Pelodiscus sinensis: one gene and its partners. The protein of the gene in region 2 interacts with the protein of the main gene of each other region in a pairwise test. Links are inferred from orthologs where the notes say so. Each region holds a gene or a part of one and is shown on either strand. Other genes may lie near its edges.

The links. The genes of interacting proteins can lie anywhere in the genome.
Region 1: the proteins of REL (region 2) and CPNE2 interact in binary tests that used the Homo sapiens proteins (3 or more experiments, as listed by UniProt). The two-hybrid records come from large-scale screens. The link is inferred for Pelodiscus sinensis from reciprocal best matches to the Homo sapiens genes REL and CPNE2.
Region 3: the proteins of REL (region 2) and AQP1 interact in binary tests that used the Homo sapiens proteins (3 or more experiments, as listed by UniProt). The link is inferred for Pelodiscus sinensis from reciprocal best matches to the Homo sapiens genes REL and AQP1.

The regions. Positions count from the first base shown.
Region 1 is NC_134722.1:43,490,920-43,498,778, reverse strand, and holds the start of CPNE2 (copine-2), read left to right. Parts: upstream 1-4,856; 5' UTR 4,857-5,242; intron 5,243-5,629; exon of another isoform or gene 5,630-5,763; intron 5,764-7,859.
Region 2 is NC_134713.1:180,083,855-180,091,162, reverse strand, and holds the start of REL (proto-oncogene c-Rel), read right to left. Parts: upstream 3,018-7,308; 5' UTR 2,783-3,017; coding exon 2,776-2,782; intron 1-2,775. UniProt on the Homo sapiens protein: Proto-oncogene that may play a role in differentiation and lymphopoiesis.
Region 3 is NC_134712.1:249,461,892-249,469,327, reverse strand, and holds the start of AQP1 (aquaporin-1), read right to left. Parts: upstream 3,004-7,436; 5' UTR 2,786-3,003; coding exon 2,396-2,785; intron 1-2,395. UniProt on the Homo sapiens protein: Forms a water channel that facilitates the transport of water across cell membranes, playing a crucial role in water homeostasis in various tissues.

The DNA.
Region 1 (7,859 bases), on a different chromosome or scaffold from region 2:
GTTTGCGGATGACACTAAGCTAGGGGGGAGAGGAAGATACACTGGAGTGTAGGGATAGAGTCTAGAATGATTTAGACAAATTGGAGGACTGGGCCACAAGAAATGTGATGAGGTTCAACAAGGACAAGTGTAGAGTCCTGCACTTGGGATGGAAGAATCCCAAGCACTGTTACAGGCTGGGGACCAACTGGCTAAGTAGCAGTTCTGCAGAAAGGGACCTGGGGATTACAGTGGATGTAGGAATAAGAGATCCTCCGGAAAAGGGCTTTTTTTCCGGAGGATCGGGGCCAGTGTAGACGCTCTTTTCCGGCTTTTCTAAAAGCCGGAAAAAAGCGGCGGACATTTTTATTTAAATGCCGCGGGGGATATTTAAATCCCCCGCGCATTTCCCTATTGCGATTTCAAAAATTACCATGCCCCTTCCAGAAAAGGGGCCAATGTAGACGTAGCCCTAAAGTTTTAACAAGTCTAGGTCCAGGAAAAAGGGAAAGTGGGTAAGTGCCCCTTTAAAATCTTTGACAAAGCACCCTGTGAATGGTATACACAAAGGGGAATAAAATAAGGGATAAGGGATCTTTCGGAAAAGGCTTTATTTTCCGAAAGATCCGCGTCTAGACTGGCGCTTTTTTCTGGCAAAGCTCCGTGCCGAAAAAAAGCGGCAGCCATTTTTATGCTAATGAAGCGGGGGAGATTTAAATCCCCGCTTCATTAGCAATTGCGATACGTCTAATTTGCATCCCTTTTACGAAAAAGGGATGCAATCTAGACATAGCCCCTGTGTATTTGGCTTGTGGAATTGGCCTGAAACAACAGGAATAGAGATGTAGTTGTGTTAGTCTGGTGTAGCTGAAACAAAAGACAGGACTATGCAGCACTTTAAAGACTAACAAGATGGTTTATTAGGTGATGAGCTTTCCAATCTAAGTCATTGGATGGATGCTTTCCAGAAGATCTCCTTCTGTACAGAGAACTTACGGACACTCAATTTGCTGAGCCAACGTACATGCAGGTTCAGGGGCGGTTGAAAGGACTTGAACAGTTTGAGTATTGACCATGCAAACTGAGATGCTGCTGCCAGCAATGGGCCATGTTGGAGGCCTGCACTGTACCAGAAATGCTGGTTCAGAGTCAGATAAGTGAAGAGAGCAAAGAGGAAAGCGAAGCAGCAGCAGGCCTCAGATGCTAATAGTGCACCAGCTTCATCCTCTGGCCCTGCACCTAGTGCCTGTACTGTTTGTGGCAAGGAAATTGTGGCTTGAGAACTGGACTGTTCAGCCACTCACAAAGCAGCAGCATGACAAGCCTGAACTGATCAGCTTTCTGGCTTACACCATTGTCTTTTCAGTCAGACAATTGCCATGTAGTCTAGCCAGCAGCAAGCATCTGCTGCATTTCTGTGTCACGTGAACCAGTATGACTGTAAACAATTCTTTGGCTGTCTTGTATATGTGCATATATAACACATCTTGCTTACCCAGACCACTGGTTTTGATCATGTCTGTAACAGGGCAGCTGCCCTGTTCTGGCCCTTTAAGAGTCAAACCCCAGCCTGGAGCAGGCCCGGGGCCTTCAGCCCAGCTGGGCAGCGTTGGCCAATTAAGGCCCAGCTGGGAGCCATAAAAGGGGAGGGCTGCTTCAGAGAAGGGTGTGGGCCTGGTGGCTGAGGGAGCAGGATGCTCCCTAGGGCTAGGCCAAGGGTGCTTGGACAGACAAATGGCTGGCCTGAAGTAAGGCCTGCTGGAGAGACACCAACCCCCTGGAAGGGGAGGCTCAGAGTGAGTGACTTGGGCATTGCTGGAGGGCAGTGTGGTGAAGAGAATGATGTGACTGGAGGATTCCAGAGGGGAAACCCCACGTGAACGGAGGCCTGTGCGGGCGGAATGGACTGATTCTGGGGACAGATGATGGACCCCTGCTATGGGGATGAGTGAACCCCTCACAATGTCAAATTCTTCAGTGAAAGGGGAACTCACTCTGGCTAGTCTAGGTTGCTTTAGCCAGAATTGTATCCTAGGTCTACACTATAGACCAGTGGTCCCCAATGTGGTGCCCGCGGGTGCCATGGCGCCTGCCGGGGCATTTGTGTGTGCCTGCTGACAACCTGAGCTGGCCCCGCCCCCAGCATGTGGCGCACTGGAGGCACTGGCCCCAGGAGGCGCCGGCCCCAGGTGCGTACCACGCACCGGTGCCTGGTGCGTGGTGCTCGGGTGGCCCCAGGCCTGGGGCACATGCAGGTGTGCGGTGCCGGTGCCAGGCCCGGGCCCACGGCACAAGGCGCTTGGGTGGCCCTGGGGCACATGCTGGCCCCTGGGTGCCCGGCGCGTGAGTGGCCCCGCCCCTGGGTGCCCGGCGCGTGAGTGGCCCCGCCCCTGGGTGCCCGGGAGCCTCTAAAGGTTGGGGAACCACTGTTATAGACTTATGTTGGTATAACTGTCTCGCACAGGTACACCAAACCATGGCAGCAGCACGATGTCGACAGAGCGTTGTTCTCTGCCAACCTGGTGTGGCAAGGTCAGTCCCAGTCCTGGGCCCCTGGCCAGTTCACAATCTCACAGATAGTTTAGGTACTGCAGCATGGGCCCCCCCTTGCCCTGGCCAGGGTTGGACTTCTGTCCCTGGGCTAGGAAGGCATTGGGGTAGGTGCCTCCAGTCAACCTGGGCTGGGTAAACAATCCTCCCCCACCACTGGTTGAACTCTCAGGCTACCTGAGGGGAAGAGAGCCCAAACACTCCTTATCAGAGCCCCCCCTCCCCCCCTTGCTGTCTTTGGCAATGCTGTTCACCTCATCAGCTTTTCTGACTCCCTCCTTGTCTGGTATAACCCTCTCCATCTCACTCCAACCGCCTGTCCCACTCCCCAAACTTCCCGCAGCAGGGAAGGCTTTTTAAAGGGTCCCGAGTGCCGCCTGAAGTGAGATCAGCTGGCCCTAATGCAGAGGTGGGCAATACTTTTAGACAGTGGGTCACTTCACCACTTTTTGGCGTGGGCCCGGGCCACCCTGTCATACTCTGGCAGAAGGGGCGGGGCCAGGACACTTCTGTGCTCCCCTGCCTACAGACCCTGACTGGCCTGGGGGTGGAGAAACAAGTCAAGTCTTTGCCCTTTGCCTCCCCTGCTTAGAGAGAACTGCCAGGTGTTCTGAACAGCTGGCAGTTCTGTTTAGGCATCTGCCCCCTCTCAGGGCAGGAGGAGACTTTGCATGCTTCCCCCACCCCCAGGCCAATCAGGGTCTGGGGGAGGGAGAAGTACACAAAGTCTCTTGCTCCCTGCAAGTGGCACACCATGCTTGCAGGGCAGGAACAGGGTGGGAGAGACTTTGCTTGCTCCTCCCTCCCACAGGCCCTGTTTGCCCTGGGGGTGGGGGAGTGGCAGAGCATCTATGGGCTGGATTGGGCCCATGGAGGCCCCTTTACCCACCCCTGCCCTAATTGATTTATAGTAGGCCTCCTCCCTCACCTCCGCTATTCCCACTCCACCCCTGGTAACTCTGAGTCAGCTGCTCCCTGCTGCCATAAACCAACCCTCTCCCAATTAGCCACCAATGTCCCAAACACTCATTGAGCCTACTGGGGGATGCTGCACACTGGCCAGTGGCAATAATAATGCTCTGTATTGCTGTAAGGAGAAAACAGCTTCCTGGATTTTCAACAGATACAGAATCATCATCTAATTCCCACTAGGCTGAGAAAGATCAAGTCAGTGCACTGCAGCATTTCAAAGACAGCATCTTAATTACAGCTGGGTGAGTAGTGAGGCAAATTACCCAGAAGTATTTCAGCAAGTTCTCAATACTGATTTGCTCTTACTGCCTTTACACAAGGGCTGTGTCTAGACTGCATCCCTTTTCCGTAAAATTTTAAGAGGAATAAGGGATCTTTCGGAAAAGGCTTTATTTTCCGAAAGATCCGCGTCTAGACTAGCGCTTTTTTCCGGCAAAGCTCCGAGCCGGAAAAAAGCGGCAGCCATTTTTATGCAAATGAAGCGGGGGGGATTTAAATCCCTGCTTCATTTGCAATTGCGATGTGTCTAATTTGCATCCCTTTTATGGAAAAGGGATACAGTCTAGACACAGGCAAGCATTTGCAGAAAATCATGCTAGTTGAGACGTAGCCAAAGTGAATCCGAATTTGACTCGATACAGGTACTAAAAGTGCTCCCCCCCCCTCCCAGGAGTGCAATAAGCACCATGAGTCACCTGTCACATACTTGTTTGTTCTCCCCCCAAGGAAGAAGCATGTGCAAGGGGGTGTTTCATGCTGGAAGGAAAAGCTATGTAGCACTTTAAAGACTAACAAGATGGTTTAATAGGTGATGAGCTTTCGTGGGCCAGACCCACTTGTACATAGTTTTTCCTTTTGTTTTAGCAAGATCAGACTAACACAGCTACCTCTCTATTACTATCCCGCTGGAAGGGTTTGTTTTCCAGTGCTTAATTTGCAAGAGAAGAGCTGTTGGGGCGCAAGGAAGTTTTTTACATTCATAGCTGACACACCCAGCCTGGAGGTGCTGGTTTGAGCCCTGGCCCATTGTGAAGCCTGGGGTATTTAACCTGCATAGCAACATGTAGGCTTTAGAGAAGGCAGATGTCCTTGCTTCCAGCATTCCAGAAGGGGGCAAAGCGTCCCAGGGGCCAAGTCCAGCCAGGGAAAGTGGCTTCTGGCTGAGATCTACTGGATCCTCAGCACAAGTTGGTCAATGGCAAAGTAACTCACGTTAGGCTGAAGCACTTTACAGGGCTAGCTCAGCCAATGGGCGCCCATGGCACGTGCTAACAGCAGCGGTTCGAAGGAATCCGGAGTCCCAGCAGCTCCCCAGAAATCCATCGCCCGCCGTGTGTTGGCGAGAAGCTGCTCGCACGTTGTGTGTGGGGCTCGGTCAAAGCGAGAGGCCCCGATCCTGCAGCTCTTCGGAGCTTTCGGAGCGCGGTCCAGGCCCAGGGATGCCCCCGAGGGCAGGATCGGGCCCTCGACTGGGCGGCACGTTACGAGCTGGTTTCCCCGGGCCTCGTTAGGAGCCCGGAGCGCTTCGCTCGCCTGCCCCCGCCGAACGGGCACAACCGCGGTTCCCAACAAGCCGGATTGGTGCAAACGTGCCGCGGGCGCGTCTCTTGCGCGGGCCGAGATTATTTACTTTGCAAGGACCAGCCACCTCGCCCAAGCTGTTCAAAGCGCGTCTCCCCCTCCGAGAGCCGGGCAGAAGCGAGCGCCTGAGGACGCTGCCCCTCCCCGGGAAGCGCTGCGGGTAAGAAGCACTTAGTGACAATCCACCTCCCTGGGGGTGGCGCCCGGCGTCTGTCCCCGGGGCAGCCGGGGAGCGGTGCTCCCGGAGTGCGGCGGGGAGGGGGGCTCGCTGCCGTGTCTCCTCGGGGGTGGGCTGGGGCCCTTGCGTGGGCATGGCTGGGCGCCGCGCGGCTTGCTCTGATCCCACCCCTCGCTCGCCCACTTACTAGGCGCTGCCTGGCGCCGCGCGTTGGGCGGGTCGCGGCCGGGAGCGCAGCGGTGCCAGGGCGGACCCAGCGCTGCTCTCCACCGGGCGCGGGCTGATCCGCGGCGCGGCGAGCTCCAGCGAGCCCGGGGACGTGGCCCTGCGCGCCGCGGAGCGCCCCCGTCGCGAGGAGCCGCTGCCTGGCTGGGGAGATGCTCACACACTGACCCCGAGCCCGCGGGGAAGGGTCCCCCTCGTGCCCGCTCCAGCCGGCGATGCCCCAGCAGCGCCCCGCGGCGGCTCGGTGAGCAGCGGGGGGCCTGGCCCCGGACCCGGCGGTAAGTCCCCCGGGGCTGGGCTCGAGGGGCCGCCTGCCGCTTCCAGGAGGGAGGCTGAGCGCGGCTGTTGCAGGGGCCGGGGGAGGCTCCTGCACCGCACGGGGCTTGCGGGCCCCTCTCGGCCGCAGCTCTGCAAGTTTCCCGGCAGTGGCGCCGGGCGGGCGGGTTGGGGCGGGGGTGAGGCTCGGCCTGACTCTGTGCATAGTTTAAATCCAGGAAACGGTTCGCCTCCGAGCGAGCGTCCCCAGCCCTGCCCTGCCCGGCAGCGCCTGAGCCACGGCCGCCGGAGGGCGCTTTGCAGCCCCTTCTACAAGGCCACGGGCACCCTGCGCTGGGCTGCGAGCGCCTGGCTCCGTCAGCTGCAGCTGCCCGGTCAAACCAAATGCTCACTGGCCCCTGCTGCTCCGCCTTCCTGCTCGGACATTGCTCCACGACTGCGCTGTCTGCTCTTCGCAGAGCCTGGGACCTGATGGCATTTGCCTTGCGCCTGGGATCCTCCCAGGCTCGCAGTAACTAGGGGAGAACCTCCGCTCTGGAGGAGTAATAGAGATGTAGCCGTGTCAGTCTGGTCTGACTGGAGCAAAAGACAGGACTATGCAGCACTTTAAAGACTAACAGGCTGGTTTATTAGGTGATGAGCTTTCCTGGGCCAGACCTGCGATTTTTTTCCTTTAAAGCTACTGAGCGCTCTCCCCTTCTAAAAGTATGAGAGACAATCCAAGTTCTTAGAGCATTGCAGGGAGAATCCATCACAGCTTGTGGATTCTGGCTGTGCCGATCAGGAGGCGAGGAAGTGAAGAACACTGCTTCTCTTGCAGCTTCCTAACAGCCCTTGGGTTCTCTGCCGTTGGGGGAGCCAGAAAGAAAGGCTCTGCTAATGTGGTAGGCTAAGTCCACACTGCAGCGCTATTTTGGGATATCCTGCATCTTCACAGCAAGCCTGTTACTTTGAAATACAATGTCCCTGTGAACCTCATTCCACGAGGAGCAAGGGACGTTTCGGAATAGCGGGTTATTTCGAAAATCTGGTGCTGTGTAGACAGTACCAATGACGAAATAAGCTATTTCGAAATTGACTCGAAATGAGCTACACTATTTGTGTAGCTCAAATTGCGTAGCTTATTGTGAGCTACTGGGGCAGTGTAGACGCACCTGTAGGGCCCTGCATCTATTCACCCTGAATGTTTAAGATACCACCTGGACATAAGAATGAGCCTGATTCTTGGCAGCAGCTCTAGGAACTTCAGGGATGGGTTTAGAGCCGATGGTACATGTGTCCTATGGCACATTTTAAAGCCCTTTCTTCTCTCTCAAGAGTTCTGCACTACAAATTGCTTGTCTTACTCATGCCGGTGACGCAGCTTACTCAGTACTACTTTGCTCCCACTCTGGCTGTCTTATCTATTGAGACTGTAACTTTTCAGGGTACTGTGTGTTCATAGGAAGAACAGTCAGGCCTAAATCTGGGTTATAGCTACCATAATACATGGCTATAGCAGCCCTGCTAACTTCAACAAGACTGCTGTTGTGAGTGTGGTGCTTAGCATCCAGCCTGGATTCACATATGCCCAAAGATTTACCTGGGAGAAGAGATCAGTGATCCACTTTGCATTCTGATTGTTAATTTCCACAGGCCCTGCACTTGGGTGCTTTGAGGTGTTGGATATCCTTCTGGCAGCTCAGTGCTGCAGGGTCCCCTCCCGCTTTTCTCTGCCCCACTTGCTGTGGATGCAAGTCATAGCAAATGTCAGTGAGCTTGTGAGTGTGCAGATGCTTGTTTGCCACCAGTGTGTGAGTGCCTTCACTTTTGTACGCTTCCCGTTGGCTGTTGTGATCCTCAATGCTATTTGCTTTGTAGCATCTGGGTCTGCTGAAACCTTGGTGGGTGATTAACTGCTTTGTATAGGAGGTGGTGGGAAGGGCTCCTTTTCTTTGTAGGAACAACTCCCAGTATTAGGCTATGGCTACATTGCGGTTTTTTTGCGGAAGAGGATATGGAAATCCCGCTCATATTTGCATATTTTCTTCCTATTCTTTTTGCGGAAGAGGTGTTGCCGATAAAAAGCTCCATGTAAACGGGACCATTTGTCGGAAAA
Region 2 (7,308 bases):
CTTTTCTTGCCAGCAATCACTCTAATTCATGCAACCAGTTCTAAAACTAAAAATTATTAAATCCTTATGAAACATGCCTGAGGACAAACTTTTCAAAGGATGTGGAATGCAAGGACTTTGCTGAGACCAAGAGAAACTAAATTAGAACTTTGATTCCTATGGCTACCAAATCTGTGATCACTTTCAATGGTACTGCCTCTCCCTTTCATACTAATTTATTTTGGCCATCACCTCTTCTAATTTGAATTGGGATCAGTTAAGCACTAAGCTGACATTAGCCAACTGATGTTTGCCCCAATCTGAGACATATACTGTAAATTTAGTCTCTTTATTTGAACAAGGATTCATTTTTCTTTTATATTTCAATGAGCCATTTTGAACATTATCAGAATCTTTTAATGTTTTAATTAATTCAGATGTTATGTTTGTTCATTAACTTATTCCTTATGGCTACCTAAGAGCTACTTGGACAAGGATTTAATATTGCTTCTAAAAATTGTGATTGTCGCCTTTTTAGCAAAACATCTGAAAATCTTGGCTTATTATTCTTAATGAATAACAAAAATAGGCCAAGATTCTCAGATGCAACTAGTGACTTAGGAAGGGAGGCACTCCATTTTTAGGTGCTCAACTTGAGACAATGTATAGGCACTGTACACCTACCCTTAGAAAGTCATATCCCTTTAAGATGTCTGAAGTTGGGTACCTACATATTTAAGCAGCCAAAAATCACTAGTAATTTTCATAACCTGTTCATGTGCAATATATATTGAGCCTCAAAAATCACTGCATGCATGAATTAGTTAAGACACACCTCTTAAACAACTGGGGCTTTTCATGTTATATTAACTCTTGCAATTAGGACATTTCTGGGTGATTGAAATGCAACTCTCTCTTACCCTCAAGACTGCCACAACCCACAAGGATCAGAGGCACCAACTGTCCAATATGGTGACCATTTATTTTTATTTAAAAGTTTTGCTACCTTCTTTCCAAGGGATAAAATGACACCTTTAAGGCCCTTTAGGAATACCCATGCTCACAGTAGAAATAAATCTCATTCCCAGTTATGACAGCTGAGAAGGAGCCTGGGTTCCTTGGATGCCCTGATAGGAAAAGGAAGACTCTCCAAAGCTCCCTCCCACTGGCAGGCATTTACTCTCCTCCTTCCCACCCCTCCTCAAAAAAACCCTGCTTTATTACAGGGAAGGTAAGGCAGGATAAGAATCAGTGCCTTCCTCCCAGATGTTAAGCAGCAAAGGAGGGAACAAACTAGCACCCAGGGAGAGCTTCGTACAAACAAAGCAGTCAGATGTTTGTGAAAAGGGGGTTAGTGCTCATCCACCTGTACCATGGATGTGAGTATGGAAGGGATCTAGCAAGCCTATTGCAGATGTCAGAGCAGTGGATGGAGCTCATGTCTACCTAAGGAGTAGGTTCTCAGAAGAGGTTCTAAAATGGGCTCACCCCCCTCTCATGCCACCACCGCTGGGTTTTTTTTTGTTAAAGGACATTCATATTGATCAAATAACCAGCTTTTCCTCTCCCACCTTCAACCAAATGACAGCTGAGGGAAAGTGAATGTGACTGTCCCTTATATAATGTTTGTTATATTCTCCTATATACACTAACTGCAAACAAAACAGAACATTGGGGTTGCATTTTCAAATGTGAATATTCACAATTAGACAACTAAACACCTATTTTAGGCATCTTAATAGGGATTTGGGGACCTAACTCAGATATTTAACTGTTTGAATACAGATTTAGATGCCTTACTTTTTAATATCCAAGTCTGAAAATTTGGTCCAAACTGTGTCAAGAAAATTACTTGAGTATTCATAAACGTATTGTTTAATTTTGTTCTTCTACCACAGAAAATTTCACATGGTGTAAATTTTGTGATAAGCTCAGGCACAGGCATATTTGTGTGTATATTTTACACTTGTTTCATATTCTTCTCTTTGATTGATTTATCATAGAAAGTAGTAGCGGAAGGAGGAATTTTAAATGTTGGGGACATGACTATAGTGAAGTGAACAGAACTACTGACATTTACACCCATGGTGAATTTGGTCTTATAAAATTCTGCCGGCATTCTTACAAAAAGCCACACTTGAAACTCATGTCATGTGAACAGACTTCCTCATCGACTAGCTCTCACACGGCTACTTCCCTTCATCAACAACAACAACAAAAATTAATTCTTTCCTTCACCACCTCTTCCTGTGTGTCACACTCAAGTCATATTCTCATCAAGGCCTTGGTGGAGCTGTTTTTGTTTAGGTCGGTGCGCACACAGTAGACCCTGAATACACAGCCATGTCAGATTCAGAAACTTGCCATTGGGCGAGGTCAGATAATGTCAATCGAGCCTCTCTTGGCAGCAGATGTCTTCACGGCAGGAATAGAAGGCAAGTGTCTTCTGCCAAGCCCAGAGCTCTGCCCAAGCTGGGTGAGGAGGGCACGCCAGCCCAACTCACTGCCGGTTGTACGGAAGTTAGGCACCTCGTCACACGCTTGCACTGTTCGCAGCCCCCCAGGTGACCTCTCCTCACCCGCTAAGCCCTTCGGGGCTTCAGAGGCTTTTGCACGCGTACAGGAGATCGACGCTACAGCCTGCAGTGCAAGCCCAAGCTCCGTATCACTGCATGTCCCCACACTGCACGGGGCAGCCCTTCCACCGGCCGCCCCGCCGGGGCTCGGGCTGCAGAGGAGCTGGCCCCACGCAGCGAGCGCAAGGCGCCCTATGGAGAGCGCCCTGCAGCCACTTACCAGCCATGGTGCCCGCTCAGCCCGGGACTCTCCGCGGCGGCGGTTCCGCGCTCTCCTGATGCTCCGGCTCAGCTGGTCCCGGCCCTACCTCGGCCGCTCCTCCCTACGGCTGGGAATTTCCCGCTAGGGTGACGGCTTGGTGACGTCGGACTCAAAAAGGCCGGTCTCCCCCCCACGCTTGCTGCGGCTGCCCTGTGCTGTACGCTTGAGGGGAAGGGAGGGGAGGGATGATCTCAGCGGGGATACACCTACCTACAGTAGCAGCAAGCTGTCCCCTCCCCCCTCCGTGCTACAGAGCTACATGCAGTGCCCACACGCCGCGGTGTAGCGATCTGCTGGCTGCTCCCCGCCCCCAACCTGCTTCCTCCAGCTGCACCTCCTCGCATGCCAGGCTGACCCTCGCTTGGCTGCTAGAGTGTAACATACGCCTCGCATGCCAGCACTAGCTGGGGCGCTGTCCTCTGTTGCCACTGGCAAGACAGGTTCAGGCGGTTCCTGATTCACTGTCAGCTTGTGGGGTAGTGTGAAAGTGCCCTCTCTGCTGGGCATGCACAGATTTTCCTCTTCTGCTTCTATCTCACACAAATACACACAGCCCCTCTTCACACCGTACAGGTACCCCATATATAATTATAATTCACACACACGGGGTAGCCACATTGATACCAAGAGACGTGCTTTTGAAATATCTAAAAGTGCGAACCTCAGACGGGACAACTTACAACTTAAAATACAACGAATAGTCTTACAGCACCTTAGAGACTAACAAAACATGTAGATGGTATCATGAGCACAACCCACATCTTCAGATGAAACACAGTAAGTCAATTCAACAGTAATCTATGGGCATGACAAAATTCACAATGTTGCCTATGTGTAAAACAAGCACAAGATGTCCAGGCAATCGTCCCACTTGGGTGCAATGCATTACACTCTCTCACACTGCTGCAGTATCAGTATCAAGCAGCTCCATAATCATGGTTGCAATTGAATGACCAATTGAGCTCCTTATTTCCCAGACTATAATAACCAACATTAGTAGATTAAATATGATATTTTTAGCAAATTTGACAATTGATTCCTCAATTGTGACATACTAAAAACAAAGCTGCTCTCCGAGTTACGAATAAGTTACGGATCAACACTTGGTCCGTAACTCAAAGTGTTCATAACTTGGATCCCAGAGAGTTACATGGTGACCGCACTGTTCGTAAGCGCAGATCGCCGTTCGTAACTCGGATCCGTATTTATGACTGCTTTGGTTGTAAGTGCGGATGGTCGTAAGTGGAGGTGGTCGTAACTCCGGGAGTGGCTGTAATTCAAGATTTTAACATTTTTTTCATGCCTGCCCCAGTTTAAGCAGTTAACCAGTTAACCATAATATTTTTCCAGTTAACAGATTAAATGGGATTTTACATCCCTAACTCAGTCCTACTACTTTAATTAGTTGAATTGGAACAGTTTACAGACATCCCTTGAACTTTGCAGAAATCTAGATTCAGGTGCCATACTGGCTCCAACCTCCATGATTTGCAGAGAGGTCAATGTTGAGCGAGTCTAAAAGAGTAAAAGAATCCCTGCTCACAGATTTTTTATTTTTTTTTGGTGACGTGAGGATTACTTTGCACTGAGCTAGCAACAAGTTTTTAGCATTTAAATCTTTTAATTGAGAATGTTTCAATCATACATAATGGCAAGTAATAAACAACAAATCTAAAGTAACATTCTTGAACAAGACACATTAAAAATTAGTACAGTAACGATGGCTTGAAAATGTACTGAAGAATAGCACTGAACTGATATTTTCTGTCATGTTTCTTCCTATCTCAGCCTTTTTTATTTTAAACTAGGCATATTAGGATAATACATTAAACACCAAAACAGGAAATCATATTTTTTAAATATTTAAATTCAAACATACCAATTTATGACCTGAAGTAAGAAGGATTGGACAAATTGTAGCATAATATTATTTTCATCATTTTGTAGGCCAATGCAACCCAATGGAAGTAAATGAGAATCTGCCTACATCAGGTATGAATTTGGTTCCATGTTTCTAGACATGCTCTCCCTATCACTTTGTACACTGGGCTAAAAAAGCACTTTTCCTCCCTAAATATCCGTAGTTGACTTTTCCTGTACTAGCAGGTATGTAAAATTAGAGACTTTTTTTCCCTTTACAAAACAAAATTAAAATTTGCAGGCTTCTGTCTCAATAATATTATCTAAATTCCTAGCATCAGTACTTTAGCTGGTTTAAATCAACAGAGCTCCTCTGCTTCTAGAGAACTGTGCCTTTTACACCTGCCAAGGATCAGGACAAGTATGTTATGTATTGCACATCTATTCAATTGTTAGCATGGTAGGCTTTATTACATATGTACTGGGTGTAGTACAAATTAATTTATTAAACTGTATACATAAAAACTAAATAAAGAAATCCTTTGGATTAGGCTGTAAGATTATCCAAATCTCTATTCTTTTGCTCCTGATTAAAGGTTTGAAAGGGATGAATGGCTAGATCATTGAAATTCAGTGGTCCACAGATGTAACAAACATTGTTTGTATATTTATTGCTTGGAACAGGAATACATATTGATTTTTTCCCCCAAAAAATCAAAACTTCAGATGTATTGTACTTGTACAGCACCTTTCACACATATTGCATCCTAAAGCTCTACAGGGTTAGGAGTGGACTTTATAAGATGCTGATTGAATTAAGCACCTAAATGCCTTTGAGGATTTGGACCTTAGATACTAACAGGTGTCAAACAAATACCCCAAGAAAGGTATATTTACATGGGAGCCATAGTTTAGATTTTCTAACACAAGTCTGATTTTACAGAGAGAAAAAGAGAGAGATTTGGAAGTGATTTGGATAAGGGGTTCCAGAACTATGATAGCTTGGAAAGAGTGGATTGATTAATTTAAAAAAATATTCTAATTTTGTTGCCACTTTGTAAGTAAACAAAAACATCCATAAAGCAAGAGAGAGGAAAAAATAAAATTCAGTCTTTTAATAGCTGAAATTCTGTGTCCAACATCAAATTTTAGGTGATTAAATTCTAATGTCAAAAGTGAATTTACTTTTGCATTGCTAACATTGCTATGGAATATCTGCTCTAAACTGGTGAACTTAATTCAGCTGAAAATATGTTCTGACATGCAAAAGGTCCTGCCTATTATATAACTGGTTTTGACAGGGTAATAAAAAGGAAAGGGGAAGGCTACAGCCTCGCTCCTCCCAGTTGTTGATCCTGGAAAGACCCTGAGTGGAGTCAATTTATGCTGGGTTTTAGTTTTGGTAGTAAAACAAGGCATGAAGAAAGAGATATGAAGTAAAGTGTAACTTCCCCAGCTGCTAAGCGTGCAATCCAGTTTACAAGATGTCACGGAATTAAGAGAGACTTATGGTTTCAATACAAAAGAAAAGAAGAAGAAGCCTCTCTCTCTTTCCCTGAACAGACAGATCTTAAGAGGAAACCTGACCACTAGAGAGGCTCCTCAATGGAAAGGGAACAAAAAAAGGATTATTTCCAACCAACAGTTCACAGAATGGGGATTGCTGGTGAACCTGTCATGACTAGTGAGAGTCTGTGAATCCTGAACCATGTGTAAGAATGTTTCAGACTCAGAAGCTAGTTTTGGTATGGCGGAGGAGCTAGAGCTGCAGGGAACTTAGGATCCTAATTAGAGAGGTTCTTCCCTCCCCCTCTCATCCTGCTATTGCTGATCCCCAAGCCTCTTCCTAGACATATTTTTCCTCTCCCCCTTCCTATGTGCTATAAGAAGAGACCATTATCCAGTTCTTCAGAGGTCTCCCCCTCCTGTCCAGAAACTGGAGTTAGGACACTTAGTAGTCAACATGGCATGGGTTATTCCCTTTTCCCCTATGCCTCCTAACTTCTGCAGGACTGGATCTCTTAGGGCTTGCAGGAGCTGGTCCATGGGCCCATTTTTCAAACTATTCCTAGCAGGCACATATCAGTGTCTGGAGAGCATTCTGCAACCCAAGAACATTATATTTTTAAAAAATGACAGTACCTAGAAAATTCAGGGTTAAGGTTGTGCTCCTCAAAACAATGCTTCTAACGACCTTAACTCTGCCCCCATAGAAAGAACTGTCTACCTTGACATCACATAAGAAAACTTAATACTGTATAGAAACATTTTGTTGCTGACTTGCATCTATTGTAGTTTTAATTTTATTTATCTGAGAGCTTATTCATGTTTGAAGCTTAACAGAGACTGGGCTGAGCTACTCACTCTCACTTAGAGAAAGTTCTCTAGACACAGCAATGTGAGAGAGCTCTCACAGCAATGGTGTATAGTACGGCTACCACAGCACAGCTACATTGATAGAAATTCTGCTGTAGCATTGTAGAATAAATGCTTCCTATAGTGACTGAAGGATTTTTTCCATCACTATAGATGCTTCATTTCCCCAAGCAATGTCAGCTGGTTACCAGAAGCATTCTTTCATTGACTTATCTGAGTCTGCAATGGGGGTTGGGTCATCATAGCTATGGTACT
Region 3 (7,436 bases), on a different chromosome or scaffold from region 2:
GGGGGGTAGTCTTATACGGCGAGTATAGGCCAAAACCTATGTTTTAACTGGAAAATTAGGGGGTCGTCTTATACGCCCAGTCATCTTATACGCCGGAAAATACAGTAGTTCCTGATTTTGTGGTCTGTTTAAAAGCTGAGGCCACATGCCCAAGTGGAGGACACACTTTTTCTAAAGGGATGGTTGCTTTCCCAGACAGCCCGTATTTGCTTTATTAGCCCTGTATGATTTTCTTCCCTGCCTTCTTGTCATTTCAGCACCATCTTCTGAATTTCCCCCCGCCTCCCTGACACCTTCTCTTCAAGGTCCATAGACCCCTTGCCTGCACCCAGTGTATATAATCCTTGTAACTTGGAGGTAGTCAAAGAAACAAGAGGGGTTTTGACTAGTGTCACGTACCCACTCTACAGAAGTCCAGATTCAGGGCTCTGAATTTTAGGGTGAACCAATGTGCAAGAGTTTTATGGCTGCCCAGTGTGCAGATGAGGAAATCCAAATGCTAAAACTCTGGGAAACAGACCACCCGCATTTAATGGCAGCTGGCAGCTAGGTGTTTGCAGGAGCCTTCTTTGGTTACTTCATGTCCCATGTGTTTCACTCCTGCATGGTCTAGTTCCCCCTGGCACTGGTTTCACAGGGAATGAGTACATACCATTTTTTAAATCCTGATCCAAAGCCCACTGAAGTCCATGGAAAGACTCTCATTGTTTCCCCTGGGCTTTGAGTCAGACCCATAATTATTATCCAAATTTAGAAGCTGAGTGGATAGATGGATTATCAAATTCCTGTATCCACAGATTCCAGAAAGGTAAACAAGCAACCTATATTGGAATAGAACATGAAGACTGACGACACCCAATTTTAGTCTGGAGTAATGAATTAAATATCAACGTTCACTATATTTTTCATAATATTAATTGTAGTTGCCTATGACTCCACAGTATGTTAAACCACACTACATTGTTTGTTCATTTCATACTCCCTGACTTTTTTGTTTGTTTCTCTTTCTTCTAAAGGAGTTACTTATAGTAAAATCACATTCTGATCAAACTCTTCACTTGCAAATATGCTCCCTCAATTAAACTGGATGCTGAATATTAATGTCACAAACTGCAGCTTAATTTTTTTATATGGGCGGGAACAGCCAGAAGATGTGAAATAAATGCACTTTATACAACCAGATCGAGTAACTAGCCATAAGGGAAATCCCAGCTTTAATATTCTTATAGGTAGCACTAACAAGGTATTTGTGGTTATGTGACTGAAACTGAAAATAGGTTCCTTCTAAGCCAGACAAATGCTTAAAGATATGTGTATCCATTTAGATGCCACTCTGGCCAAATGCCAACCTTTTAAGGAGGAACAGCTGCATTTAAATGATCGGAGCAGCTTTAATGAAATGCCTGTCCACAGTCACACAGCCAAAAAAACATCTGGTTGTAAAAGTGTTGAATCCAGGGTGCCTTCATAGACAGTTGCCTCCCCGCCTCACGAACAGTGCAATTCACAATTCGACATTTCCATATGTCTGTTTATGAATAAACAAAAACACAAGTGGCAGCTATGACTCTATATCAGAGAGCAAATCTGCACCAAGAGCATTTCATTGTAGAGTTTTGACCACAGGGTTTCATTTGCTACCGATCTCTCCTGCCCCTACCCCTTTTCCCTCTTTTTCTCTCTGTGGTTACTTAGATTTGTACCAATGTTCTTACACAGCATCCTAGCTGGCCTTATCTGAACCCCTAATCTGACAGCCTCCCAGAGTAACCTGAACACAATACAAATGTACATCCATCACCAGAACCAGGCACGTAGCCTGAGATTTTCAAAGTCTGCTAAGGAATTCGAACACCCAGTTACCAATCATTCTAAATGAGAATCGGGCATCTAAAAATCATTAGGGCATCTAAAAATCATTAGGTAGCATTGATTATCTCATGCTTGACACAGAAAAGCAAACACAAACATAATGTGATTCCAGTAATCACAAACATACAACCTTGATTCAGGGGAAAGAGGACCATTCTTTGATCTCTGTCTTACAGAAGATGCTAACTAACCGAGTTAGTCTGTACAGGATAAACAGAAAAACAACACATGGTCTGGTAGCACTTTATAGACTAACAAAACATATAGATGGTATCATCAGCTTTTGTGGGCACAGCCCACTTCTTCAGATGACTGGAGTTTATAGAAGATGGTTTAGCTATCCTTAGGATTATAGGAGTAGCTGTGCTACCAAGTGACCGTATAAGCCTTAAACAGTTGATCCTATGGCAACTGAAGTCAAGGCAAAGGTGTCCATTGACTTCAGTGGGTTTTGGATTAAACCTCTTTTAAACACAGTTTTTTGCACTTCTTGAAAGTGAAAGAGAAAAGCTTATCTGCTTACCGCATTGAGTCCAAGGGAGTTGTTTGGAAGAGACGAAGTGACTCCCGAAAGAATCGCCGTGGCCACCACGGCCCCTAGGCACTGTGCAACAATGTACATGAAAGCCTTAAAGAGGCTGATCTGACAGCTCAGCAGAAGACCCAGGGTCACCGCCGGGTTCAGGTGCGCACCGCTGATGTGACCCACACTTTGTGCCATGGTGGCAATAGCGATCCCAAAAGCCAGAGAGACTTTTACATTGTCTTGAGTGGCTGTTGCTGTTTTGTTGCCGACTACAGGAAAATTGAAGCCCAGTGCTGAGCCGATGCTGATAAAAATAAAGAGGCTCATGGCTAAGAACTCAGCCACTACTGCCCTCCAAAACATTTTCTTTTTGAATTCACTAGCCATCTTCTCTCTCTCTCTCACACACCCTCCCTTCCCCTGCTTGATATTTTTCTTTTGAGGTCTGAGGAGAAAGCTGAAGAAAAAACAGAGTGCTTGGATTATTTATAGGGCTTTGGGTGGTCTGTAGGAGGAAAGGGGTGTTACACAAAAGGAGGAAAGAACATCTACATAGATTGATGTAAGGCAGTACATGCGTGCCAAAGTTTTTTCTTCTCTACTTTTTTTTTCCTCTTTTCCCCTCCCCTCAGAAACTCCGATCTCTGCTGCTGTTTTTAAGAGGCTTTTTAAAATCCTTATAAAAGAATGTGTAGGGGGTGCCCCAGAAGTTTTACCATCATTTGGTTACCCTCTATGTGGTCATTGAGCATGCAGATTGGGCTTCAAGGTTTTACAGGATTTCTCTCTCTCTTTGGACTCAACCAAAAGGTATCTGTGCAGGATTGTGTTTTAATTGCTCTCAGTTACAGCAGAGGCAGGCTGCGAAAGTGGATAAATAATAAAACTGACAGCTAAAAGTGCTCTCTAGAGACTGTAAAGATCACACTGTATTTCATTTTAAATCAGGCACTGGTGTCAATCTATAAAGACTCTATAGTTTGTTTCAGATCCCAAGGGGGTTTTATGGTGTCAATCTGGAAGAACTTCACTGAAGTAATTTGGAGGCTTTATACATGTCTAATTATGATCAGAAAGTCTCAGAGGGATAGCTGCGTTAGTCTGTAACTTTAAAAACAACGAGTAGTCCTGTGGCACCCTAAAAACTAACAAAGATATATATAGTATCACGAGCTTTCATGGGCAAAATCCACTTCATCAGGTGAGCTGGAGAGGAATAATAGAAACCCAGATATTACACATTTATGTATATATTTATATATATTATAAATTGTAGAATTTATAATGCATAACTATATGATCAGAAATAATTCTACTGCAGACAGTGGAGCTATTCTGGTTTTTACCGGTGTAATTGAGATTAGAATCTGGCCCCAAATAAAATATGTGTGTGTGTGTGTTGTACTTGTCATTTATGTGCATGTGCCATTCATATATATTTACAAATAGCCTATATACTATGCACCCATTTTATTATGTTCTTGTAACAACTATTAGGGTCTCTCAAGTCTTCCCCTGTTAACACCCCTATTCTCAGTAAATAAGCACAACGCTGGAGTACTTGCCCAAATCCTGCAGTGAAAGTTGTATGCAAACTTTTCTTTAACCTCCGTCTTCCAGAGGGCAGCTGTGCTGGTTGTCACCACGGCGACTGGCTTCTGCTGCTGCAGATAAACAGTACTGGCCAGAGAGGAAGATGAAAACGATGTGCTTTATTTTGCATACAAAATTAATCTTGCAAAGGTGCCAATACATCTTTAAGTGCCAAAGGTCTAAGAGCCTCAGTTGTTGCCGCCTTAAGACCCGTGCAATTTCATTGGCTTACCTCCCCTGTGTTATCAGATCTGTGTGCACTTTAAAGGCTGGCAATTCATTGTTCTCTAAGTCAAAGTATCTTCATTTTTCAAACACTGGCTTCAAAGTTCCTATGTGAGCTGATCCAAATTCAGGGGTGGGGAAACAGTTCTTAGAGCATGAATAAATTTAAAATCAGCCTGATTTTTTCCTTCTTCTTGGAGAAGAAAAAAAAAGTTTACCATTATTATTATGTATTGCTATGAATTTATAATTCTACCTACTTGCCATTTGAGATTTTAAATTCACACAGCATGTACTATGGGTATGAAAAAAGAAAAAAAAATCTGACAGATACACACAGAGCTAATGTTATGTAGTCAAGGAGATTTTTATAAAGATATTCAGTTCTTTTCAATTTAATTTCATGTAAAATCAAAATCCAGGTGCTAACCTGTTTGCAATCTATTGTGCTATGTTCTTATACTTTCTGTTCAGCAGATGTGCTTGGTTTTCTTTAGGACAGGCTTTATACACCTACAAAATATATCTGCACCAGTGAAACAAAACAGCAACAACAAAGAAAAAGGACTGCTACCACAATGGAGGCCAGAACTCCGAGATCTTTAAATGGCCCTCAAAACACTGCATGCCCCAACTCCACCCTTTCTGCCCAAAGCCCTGCCTTTTCCAGGAGCAAAGAGCCAGGCACTCCCCACCTTGCTCAGGGGCAATTCTGTCAGTCCCCTCAGTATAATAATAGTACAGAGGTAGAGTACAAAAACTGGTGGCAATCAGAGAAAGAATGCATGAGATACAGGCAGAAATCTATGTTTGCCAATGATACCTCTGTAATACTATGATATATCATCCTATCTTATCTGCATCAGCTTCCATGTGCATAAAAGTCACAGGCTACATCTAGACGGGCATGATTTTCCGCAAATGCTTTTAACGGAAAATTTTCCATTAAAAGCATTTGAGGAAAAGAGCGTCTAGATTGGCACGGACACTTTTCCACAAAAGCACTTTTTGCGGAAAAGCGTCCGTGCCAATCTAGACGCGCTTTTCCACAAAAAAGCCCCGATCGCCATTTTCGCCATCGGGGCTTTTTTGCGCAAAGCAAATCTGAGCTGTTTACACTGGCCCTTTTGTGCAAAAGCTTTGTGCAAAAGGACTTTTGCCCAAACGGGAGCAGCATAGTATTTCCGCAAGAAGCACTGATTTCAGACAGTAGGAAGTCAGTGTTCTTGTGGAAATTCAAGCGGCCGGTCTAGACACAGCCATACGGTTTAAGGCTAAAAGGGACCAGCACATCAGTCAGACTTCCTCTACACAACAGGCTACTGAATGTCCCTCACCACCCCAGCAGCAAACCCAACCAGCTGAATTAGACTCAAGTATTAGAGCCCTCACAGAACTAAAATAGTGTGTGCCACAAGCAGAGATCTTCAGGTGCTCTGGTGTACCAGGGCCCCAGCCCTCTGCAATGGCAGGGAATTGATTTGCTGAGATATCTTCAGATCACCCTAGCAAGCAACCCTATGTCTCATGCCAAATGATTAATGCAGTATGCTGTTAGAGCTCACTGGGGTACGTCCACACAGCAGGGCTAAAGCCAAAATAAGCTACACAACTTGAGCTACGTCAATTGCATAGCTTGAGTCAGAGTAGCTTAACTCGGCTTTTGGCACGTCTACACGGCAGGAAGTTGGAGGAAGAGTGCTTTTCCTTTGACTTCCCTTACTCCTCATGAAATGAGGGTTACCAAGAGTCAGAGTAAGAAGTCGTCCAGCTTGTTATTATTTTGAAATAATGGCTTGCAGTGTAGATATGCTCTTTGTTATTTCACTCAAGCCCAGGGTTGTGAGTTCAATCCTTGAGGGAGCTATTTAGGGATCTGGGGCAAATCTGTAAGGGATGGTACTTGATCCTACCTGAGGGCAGGGATCTGGACTAGATGATCTTTCAAGGTCCCTTCCAGTTCTATGAGATAGGTATATCTCCGTATATTTTTTAAATTTTAAAGAATAACGTTAGTTATTCCAAAATAACGCTGCTGTGCAGACATAGCCCAGGTCACCTTCAGAGTGCACCAGCAGGGTCCACAGGCCGATCAGTGTGCAACATGTCAGTATGCTTTAGAAATCACAGCCCACAGTCAGCATTAATGCATCAAGTGGACAAACCCTCATAAAATACTTTAGTTCATTAGCTTTATGCAAGGAGTTTATTCTACCCTTCCTGATATGCCTAATTGCTCAGATTTCCCTGCCATTTGAATGAGAGACACAATACTGGGTTCTCCTTTGAAATGTGTTTTCTGCTGTCAACAGAGCAAACATCGTATCTCCGGGAGTTTTCCACTGATGTGAAGGGAGTTTAAAAGTCAAAGGAGAAGAGATGTGCGCTATCCTGGGAGTCTAAGTATGTCTACACTACAGAGTTAATTCAAAATAACAGACGTTATTTCGAATTAACTGTAATAGCTGTCTACACATACAAACTGCTGTTTCGAAATAAATTCGAAAGAGCGTAGCCCTTATTTCGAATTAGGTAAACCTCATTCTACGAGGAATAACACCTAATTCGAAATAGCTAATTCGAAATAAGTGCTGTGTAGACACTTATTTCGAATTAGGGGGCCTCCAGCCCTTCCCAGTTCCCCCTGGTGCCACTCTGGGCCAAACCAGGAAAACTTGTCTGCTCCCGCCCTAGCCCCAGAGCCCTTAAAGGAGCAGACTCTGGCCACAGTGCCTGTGCCAGTTGCCAGCCTGACAGCACACAGCCAGCAGACCGTGCACCTGGCACAGCATGAGCCAGCCACCCGCTGACACCCAGCCCTACACCGCTCCCCAGGACCAGGCTGGCGGCTTCCAAGAGCCTGTCAGGGGCCGCAAAAGGCGGGTGCCTTTCTGGTCAAGTGCGGAGATCGTGGGCCTCATTGAGATTTGGGGGGAGGCCTCCAATGTCCATGATCTCAACATTAGGTACAGGAATGTGGCCGTCCACAGCTGCATGGCTGCCAGCTTGGCCACCAGAGGCCACATACGCAGCCAGGAGCAGGTGCACAGCAAAATCAAGGAGCTGCGGCAGGCCTATTCCAGGGCCTCCCAACCAGGGGCTGACCCGGAGGCCTGCCCCTACTATGAGGCCCTGGACCGCATCCTGGGGGGTCAGACAGTCCGTGCCCCCCTGGTCATCATAGACCCTGGGGCAGAGGGCCCTGCCCCTGACACAGGGG